2 linked regions of the Drosophila melanogaster genome follow. The protein of the gene in region 1 interacts with the protein of each later gene in a pairwise test. Each region holds a gene or a part of one and is shown on either strand. Other genes may lie near its edges. The genes, in order: eIF2Bdelta and CG10139.

Region 1 (5,308 bases):
GCCGGTGCCGGTGTGCCGGGGCTGCTTCCGGCAAATGCAAAAGCAAAGCCCGTAGAGGCAAGGCAGGCAGGATCGAGGAATGGAGCGGAGCTAGGGTGTGCAATCGATATGGAAACGCTATTAAATTTATTGTGTGTATTTATTGTTGCATTTGTAGACTTAGCTGCTTGTAGAAGCTCATTCAAGTTGTTGCAAATGGAAATCAAAAGAGCAAAACCAAATCAATCCACCAGCGATTGGCTTCCAGGCATCGTCCTAGTCTATAAGCCGGGCACAAAACTGTATTTTGTTATTAGAATCTAGAGCTACATATTTGCTAATCCCAGCCCCACCCGCACGGAAAGTACAATTGCATGTCAGAGCGCAGACTTGCTCTTGATCAAAATATTTATAATTTCCGAGGAACTCGGCGGTCTGCCGGATGTACAGACACTTGGGCCTAGCCCTCCTTCGCAGCAGCGGTCCCTGGCATCAAGCATATTCCACTAGCATACCCGTAAATTATGAACTACGCATCAATCTTGTTTGTCGATTTGATCAAAGTGTAATAAAACTTATTTATTCAACAACTGCGAGTTCTACTGAGCGATCGATGAAGTCTGATTAGTAGCCAATGTCTGGCTTGATGCGGAGTATGACGGGAACACTGGTGCAGGGCAGGATGGCCACCTCGGTGACCACGGCACTCACCAGCTCCGGCGGAGTAATGTCGTAGCTCAGGTTGAGCGGCAACAGCTTTCCCTTGGCCGCCCAGTTGCTTAGCTGGCACTTGTCGCCGCGCACCAGTTGGTTGGGATCGCTCAGCTCGTTGTAGACGATGGCGTCCGTCTGGAAGCGCTCGCTGAACTTGTGCGTCTCGCAGCACACGAGCACCGGCACGTTGTGGGCATTGGCCACCAGGGCCACCTGGGCGGTGCCCGTTCGCGCCATCACGTATCCGTTGGCCAGCAGGGCGTGTGCTCCCAGCAGCACCTTCGTGGCCTCCGCCATCACATAGCCCACGGCGTTGATCAGCACGTAGGTGCACGGGATTCCGGTGGCGTGCAGTCGGCGCAGCAGCTCCTGGCCTTCGCATCCGGGTCGCGAATCGACGACAATCACGCGGAAGGCCACCTGGCGCCGCTTGGCCTCCTCGCAGATGAACTGAATGAGGGAGGAACAGGCGAAGGTCAGCAGCACGTCGCCATCGGTGATCTTTTCCTGCAGAAAACCGCTGATCGCTTGGGCCGCCTTGCCGATTTGATTTTCAATGTAAGTATCGATGAAGTGGACGAGCAGCTCCTTCGACTGTTGAGCAAATGCATGTTACCAATTGAGTTAAAAAAATATATTTTGATTCTTACCTCCGTTTCGGGAACATCCGCCGGCAGCTGTGTCAGTTGGTTCTTGAATTGTTTGTACGCATTGGACACGGACACGGCCAGCGGTCGGCACTTGTGCAGGTGGTCTACGTGGTGCTTCACGGCGGCGTCCAGGCTGCGACCAAACTCCTTCTTGGCGGGCGTCTCAAAGTCGTGGACAACCTGGCGCAGGGCGTGCAGGAAGGCAATGCATCGAGCATTGGACCCCACCACCGTGCGCTTGGCGTACTGAACACCCAAGCGCGCAATGCTCGGATGAACGAGTGGATCGTTGATGAACTGGCTGTCTTCCTTGGCGCACACCAGATGGTTGAACAGCTTCACCCGGCAGTCTACATTGGGCGTGCTGGCTGGACATTTGACGGGGGAACTGCTGGTGGCCGCTGTGGTGGGGGAAACGCTCTTCCGGTTCGGCCCTTTGGGAGCTGCGCTGGGTGGTGCCTTGGCTGCATGCTGGGCCTTTTTAGTCTGTACCTGGGCCTTGGCTGCCCGTTGGGCTTCTTGGATAGCGCGACGCTCCGCTTTGCTAAGAGCTGGCTTTTTCTGTGCAAGGTGAGGTGAGATGTATATGAAGCAAGGAAATCATAAATGTAGCAAGTTACCTTTTCCTGGTCCGCTTCTGTTGTCGAAGGTGCAGCACTGGCTGCGACTGGAGCTTTTTCTGCTACTTTCAGGTCAGCGAGCTGTTGTGCGATGCCCTCTACCTTGGCTCCCCCGCCTTTGCCAGCTTTCTTGGCTGCCTTCTTGGCCTCGCGTTCCGCCTTGATCTGCTCGCGTGTCTTTTCACCCGCCTCCGCATCCTTGCCATTTACCGCAGCTGGCTGAGTCGTCTTTGAAGCCACTGCATCCTGCACCTTTGTTGTGGTGGTGGTCGTCAGCTTAGTGGTAATGGTGGTCTGCTCCACTTCAGTGATGATTTTGGTGGCCGGAGCAGAGGGAGTGGTCAGAACAGCAGGAGTGGCGGCAGTAGGAGTCGGTGCAGTTTTCTGTTTCTTGGCCTGCTTAGCCAGCTTCTTCGCCTCCCGCTCGGCCATTATCTGGTCACGAGTCTTCTCCGTGGCCAATGGATCCACAGCATTTCCGGGCATTGCACTCGTGGCGTCGATGGCTGATGTTTCTTGTGTCGTTGAATGGCTGTCTTCCAGGCGATTTCGTTTGTTGCGCGGTCGATTGCGTTGCCTTTGCTTCTTGTGCTTGCTCTTCAAAGTCTGGGCGTCAGTCCCAGTCCAGATAGGGAGTACGGAATTAGTTATTGATGTAACAATATGTAAAACTATCAAACTGTTTGGATCAAATACGAAATCAAATCGGCCGACATGCTAAATCAAAACTAAATTTGGGAAACTCGCTACTTGGCAAATTAGTTACTAAGAGGCAAGCTAGCTACCTGTGGCACCTGTTCGCTAGTTAAAACCATTTTGAAAGCTTGAAAAGAGAGAGACATGGCAATTAAGGTGAAAAAGGATGTGAAAAGGTTAAAAAAGGTTCAGACTCCTGTGGCGGTGCAATTAAGATCCAAGCTGAATCCTGCGTCTATGGGTAAGCACGAATGCTGGCTTATAGCACCTAAGCAGTGTGCTTGCTGTCTTTACCTTACGATTCTATATTATTATTCGGGAAAAGTAACTCGAAAGTTTTGCTCACGATGGCAAAAAAACGTCCACCAGTTGATAGCGATGTAAGTGAATCGATAACCGTCTTGATTCGCCGCGGTAAACACATGGCCGGCCTTGCCAGACTCGCTAGCAGCCAGTGTCATTTTTGGTGCTTTCCTCGCCGCACGAGTTGGCATTCCCATAGCTGTCTTTTATTTGTGAGGTTCGTATGTTCGTCTGCCGCCTCCGAAAATTACATAATTTTTGCGTAAATTGATTTCGTTTAATTCGACCCTCCACAGCTGCGAATTCCACGACTACCATGGCCGACAAAGCTGCTGCCGAGAAACCCGCTGGACGCCCCATGCGCTACCCATACACTTTCTCCGCGAAGATAGCCCAATTCCCCATCAAGCACTACATCAAGAACCAATGGATCTGGCGCTACTACTTCATTGCGGCCGTGGCCTGCGTGCCCGTGTTCTACAAGATCAGCAAGCTGGGTGCGTAACACTCGCCTCGCGACCTCTGGGCCCCTTGTACTAATGCACTTCTCCCTCCTGCCCATTTTCAGCCAACTCGCCCGAGAACAAGAAGGCATGGGCCGAATCGCAGGCCAAGGAGCACGCCGAGCACCACTAGGCGGCCAGTAACTTAGTCTTAATTGTCGCATCAACATTTCAGAGCTGTTTGTGTCGGACCCAACGTGAAATCGGCGAATAAATGATTTGAAACGAGGTTAAACTTGATTCTTATTGGAGAGTGCACTGCAACATCCAAATACGGTCTTATTATGCGGCTATGACACCACCTATGAGTTGAGTTCGGTCACACTAATGATTTGTTATATGAAACACAAATTAAGTTGCTTGTTACTATTAAAATTCATAACTAGCAGCATTTAATTGGATTTATTAAAGAATAGATTAAATTATATTCCACAACTGATCGCGATGAATATTCGTTTACCCAGATAACTGCATTTCGAAGGGTTAATCGAGAAGCTAAGCAGGAAAAATATTCAAGTTCAAATTTGTATAAGTAGTTGGCGCAAGACAAAGCATCACAGGGGTCTAATTTTTGGTAGTGAGTTGGAATTTCCCCAGATTCGTAAATAAAATAAAAATAAAAAAGTACTGAGAGCACTCATTAAAACAAAACACTGATTCCTATCATATCCGTTTCCGTTGACGGTCATAAAGAGTGTACTGTTATCAGCTGGTCAACATAAAATTCCTCAAAAATTACCTCAAACTCGACTAAGCTTGCCAGTCGCTCCATTACCGCGAAAAGATGAAGTTCATCGCAGCTGGATTAGCTCTTCTGGTCTGCTCCATCCAGTTGGGTGAAGGAGCACCTGGTCACCTGCTAGACTCCAGTTGTGGCACGACAAAACCAGAATTTATCCCAATGATCACCGGGGGCGCAGACGCAGGCCTATTCTCAAATCCATGGATGGTGAAGGTGCTAGGCGAGAAACTATGTGGTGGCTCGCTAATCACCAGTCGTAAGTATTCAAATGTGGCCCACGAATGAGTTCTTTGTCCAGTCACCTGCTGCTAATACTTTCAGGCTTCGTTCTCACGGCCGCCCATTGCATCGTTAGTACACACATGTAAGTGAGGCAGCACTGTCTTTCGGCGAACACTTACGAATTCCCATTTCCACAGGAGAGTACGCTTGGGCGAGTATAAAACCCGCTTTCCTGGCAAGGATTGCTCGCGCTGCGTGCCCAAGTCATATAAACTCAGGAGAATACGCTTGGGCGAGTATGACACCCGCTTTCCTGGCAAGGATTGCTGCGTGCCCAAGTCATATGAACTCGCTGTGGATAGAAAGATTTTGCATGCGGATTATAACCTAAACTTGGACAACGACATCGGCCTGTTGCGCATGAAGAGCTTCGTCCAGTACTCAGGTAATGAGGTGGATCCAGCAGCCAGGGCTCCCTAAGCAGTGGACATATCTTTCAGACTACGTCCGGCCGATCTGTCTCCTGGTCGAGGGACACATGGCGGAAAGTCCCATCTTCAACATCACCGGCTGGGGTGTCACCAACGATGGCACGCCCAGCCGGAGGCTCCAGAGGGCCACTGTGTACAACACCGACCTCCACTTCTGCCGAAGCAAGTTCACCAAGCAGGTGGATGAGTCGCAGATTTGTGCTGCTGGCACAAATAGCGATGCATGCCACGGCGACTCGGGAGGCCCGCTGAGCGCACAGGTTCCTTTTGCCGGCAGCTGGCTGACCTTCCAGTACGGACTGGTCAGCTACGGGTCGGCGGCATGCCATTCCTTCTCCGTTTACACCAACGTTACGCACCACAGGGACTGGATTGTGAACGCCATCGA
Region 2 (3,610 bases), 8.7 Mb from region 1:
GTTGGGGCACTCACTTTGCTGCTTACCAGCGGCAATTTTAATTGTTTTATTTTAACATTTAAAACCAATTTATATTTATGAAATTTCGTAAATTGGCAATGTCATAAAACGCACACACTCACGCAGACTTCCAGGCACTTGTGCCCTCAGGTCGTATTCGCAACATTTCCCATTTAGCGTGACATGCTTTCCCTTCTCCATTTCCCATTTTCCGCTCACCCATTCCAAAAGCCCCGGCATTTCGCATTTCGCATTTCCCAGTTGCCATTTGTGGCCCGCTGCCCTGTTATGTGGTAATTAAAATGACTCTTGGCCCATCTCCGACGCGTTTTTGGACAGCTTTTTACTGCCACTCAGCCGATGCGTCGTATATGCGTAATGTCTGGCTAAATTATTAATTTACTATGGCCCCGAACGAGTGTTGTTAATTAATTTGTATGCAAATGCCGGAAAATCGAGACTGGGTGGTGCTTGAGCCGGAACGAGTGGCTGATCCGCTTCAATGAATCGCTTCAAATGCTGACCAGCAAATCCCATTACCATTGAGTGGATGACGATGGTTGTGGTTTATTAATTGATACGAAATAATTATGGTTAGGTAGGTGAGAAGTTGGTCTGAAATGATCTGCGGATGGTTTTTATCTATTTGTTTGTCTCGCGACTTCATTGTGGACGGCAGTCCACTTAGTGACGAAGGGCACCAGTTAAATGTCTCTGCTGGTGACTCACGTTTTCATCTCTTGTAGGTTTATTACAATCCCAAACCTTCGAAGCTAATATTTTCAACATCCTGAATGCAAGGTGCACACTAAGCTGTACTGCGGTTAGTCTGTACGCTTTTACCTTTGCTGGATTGTTTGCACTGCGGCAACGGGGCGTGTGATTAATTTTAGCCGGAATAGCCGACAAAAACCCTTTCATTCATTCCGCTCCTTTGTCACAATAAAATTGGGGAGAAGGGTAGGGCAAACAAGAGCATATAATAAAAACAGTAAACATTTAATTGCCTGACAAATATTTGCCCTTCGCCCCAGCACCAAAAAAGGGGTTTAGGGCCAAGTTTCGAGAGCTCGACAAATAGGCGCTGATGAAAAACTTTAATAGTAAAACTTCCCCATTCGGCTTATGCTTTCATTTCTCCTTCTTCTTCTCCCATTTCTCCGCCTTTTCCCCCCAACTTTTCTCTTATGCATTATCGGCATACGCTGCTCATATAACTTTGCTCGTCGGCTGCCGTTGAAAGTTTTGCGCAGCTTGACAAAATTTTCAGAGCTATGCGATGGTCGCTATATATGCAAAAATCTTAAGCGAAGTATCGATTTTGCCGCCGGCTAAAAATTATTTACAAACGAATGAACTTTTAAAGGAGCCAACTCCAATTGAGTGGGTTGTCTGCGGTTCAGTTTTGTTTGTCTGCCAGCTCGAGAGTCCTTTGCCAATGCCCGGAAGCCCTACTACAAAGGACATCGCATGGCGGGTGAATTCTCCCTAATAAAATAAAAAAAAGGCACACAATATTTGGTAGGAATTGAAAGAATGCAAAATGAAAAAAAAATGGTTCAAAAAACCGGTGTCCCGTATTCTTAAATTTTTGTATAAAATTAAGATTATAAAGATTATTCGATTATTTTGATTTTTTAACTATACTACTACTTGAATTAAATTATTCAAAAAAACATTTGATCGCGGCTTATCGATAAGCTGATTACTGTGCTATCGATAGGTCATGATCAGTAAGTAGCTGCACACGATAGCAAGAATTCATCTAGAGATGACAATGTGGCCAGATCAGCTAATTTATTGGTAATATCTAGCTAAATTCGAGCCATTAGATAAATTTAATATTCGCCTGTTCACTAAAAATATTCCTAATATATTAGTGAAATAAAACAAAACAAAAAATGTACCAATATATATATCAAATTAATAATGCAATTAATAATTATTATATTGTATATAATAAAATTGTAAATAAATATCGTACTCATGCTATTATTGAACCTGGCTATCTATAAGCGTCACGAAAAGCACACAGGCGCACTGTGGCGTTTTAGCTTTTTTAAAGCTTTCTTCGCCCTGCGTAAGACAGCTTTTTTTCTGTACAGCTAGAAACAGCTTTTTTGCTGCCAGCAAACTGGCAACACTGGCGGCAGGCGTCACTACTCTCATTGTTATTGTCATCACTATTGCATTGACATTGTTGCTGTACGTCGTGTTTTAATTAATTTCCATTGCGCTTTTTTGTCGAATTATGAAAATTTACAAGCAGAAACTGCGCGATGTGTGGCTGCAAATGGAGGAGTTTCGTGCGTGGCTGCGGCGTGATCCGGACGACTCCTACCGGGCGCACTGCCGCTTCTGCAAATGCTGCGTAAACACCAAAATAAGCGATCTGCGTGCACATGCGTCGACCAAGAAGCATATGAAGCACTTAAACCTTAAACAGCAAATCGTAAGTGTGCACAGTTTGTCATCAATCCCGCCTAATTTGGATCTATCACCTTTCCAGAAAACCACAGACGACAGCCCCTTAAACAGGTCATCCGCCAGCAGCTCCAGCACCACTCCCTACAAGGTCAAGGTGAAGTCGCAGCCAAAAACTTCCCCGGTAAAAAAGGAAAAAATCAGTGCATCGGATCAGTCCGTCGACTACGAGGAAATCATTGAGAACCTGGCACTTTACGAACCAGAGCAGGTCATGTTCTCATCGTGCTCCCTGACCGGCGGCGGCGAGCAAAGGCTAGAGGACGACGTTGAAGGCGAGGGCGAGATGTCCACCATCAGCATTATGGACGAGGAAATGGTCAACAAGGCAGTGGCCAATGCTCTGCGCACCCAGAAGGACAGCTCCCAGATCTTCGGAGACTTTGTGGCCGACCGGCTACGACAGTTGAACACCGACGCCTCCGAGTTTGCCAAGGACAAGATAATGAAGGTGATATTGGAGGCAGCGTCCATCGATCGGGCTCCCACTTATAATTAAAATATTAGTTTTTAGTATTGACTATAGTTTGAATAAAACATGAACTGTACAATTATGATTAATTAAATATGCAACATTTTTGCTAACCTGGGAGGCTTACTTCTATTCGAAATTTGTAAGGAAAAAAAATTGTAAATTTGTAAAAAAAAATCATTTTATTATTTAGTAAATTTTGGATACATTTTTATTATTACTTTGAAACACCTTAATTTTGTATTATTAGTAAATATTTTTAAAGAGAACCAACTGCACTATGTATAAATGGTTCTTCATTTTGAATAAAAATTTATTTCAGAACTTTTCGTTTTTAAAAAGTTCTATACAAAAAATGTAGTAAATTATTTTGAGATTATTAATTATAATTTTCAAAAAAATGTTGCACCATAGAACATGGATTTTTTTCGAAATTCATATCATGTATTTAACATAAAATATTTTGAAGGAAACTAAAGCAGGCGCAAAAGGGGGCACGCAGATAAATTGCTAAAACTTTTGCTCGGCAAGTTCATTGGCCATGCATTAGTTATTTAACAATTCAGCATTTTACCCTTTACGCTTTAAGCATTAATCTCGCTGGCATTCTGCTTTTAGCCCATTTTTTTTTTGTTGCGGATCAAAGTTTTACTA

Evidence for each region.
Region 2: the proteins of eIF2Bdelta (region 1) and CG10139 interact in a two-hybrid assay, tested with the Drosophila melanogaster proteins (one large-scale study listed by BioGRID).

What each region holds. Positions count from the first base shown.
Region 1 is NT_033778.4:23,384,268-23,389,575, reverse strand, and holds eIF2Bdelta (eukaryotic translation initiation factor 2B subunit delta), read right to left. Parts: upstream 3,056-5,308; 5' UTR 2,954-3,055; intron 2,787-2,953; 5' UTR 2,779-2,786; coding exon 2,749-2,778; intron 2,673-2,748; exon of another isoform or gene 2,570-2,672; coding exon 1,964-2,569; intron 1,905-1,963; coding exon 1,344-1,904; intron 1,288-1,343; coding exon 604-1,287; 3' UTR 524-603; downstream 1-523. Other genes in the region: Mtmr6 (myotubularin related protein 6), read left to right, coding at 1-55; roh (reduction of Rh1), read left to right, coding at 3,279-3,459, 3,531-3,598; CG30414 (uncharacterized protein), read left to right, coding at 4,250-4,463, 4,529-4,571, 4,627-4,874, 4,930-5,308.
Region 2 is NT_033778.4:14,643,105-14,646,714, forward strand, and holds CG10139 (uncharacterized protein), read left to right. Parts: upstream 1-2,165; 5' UTR 2,166-2,251; coding exon 2,252-2,452; intron 2,453-2,509; coding exon 2,510-2,983; 3' UTR 2,984-3,047; downstream 3,048-3,610.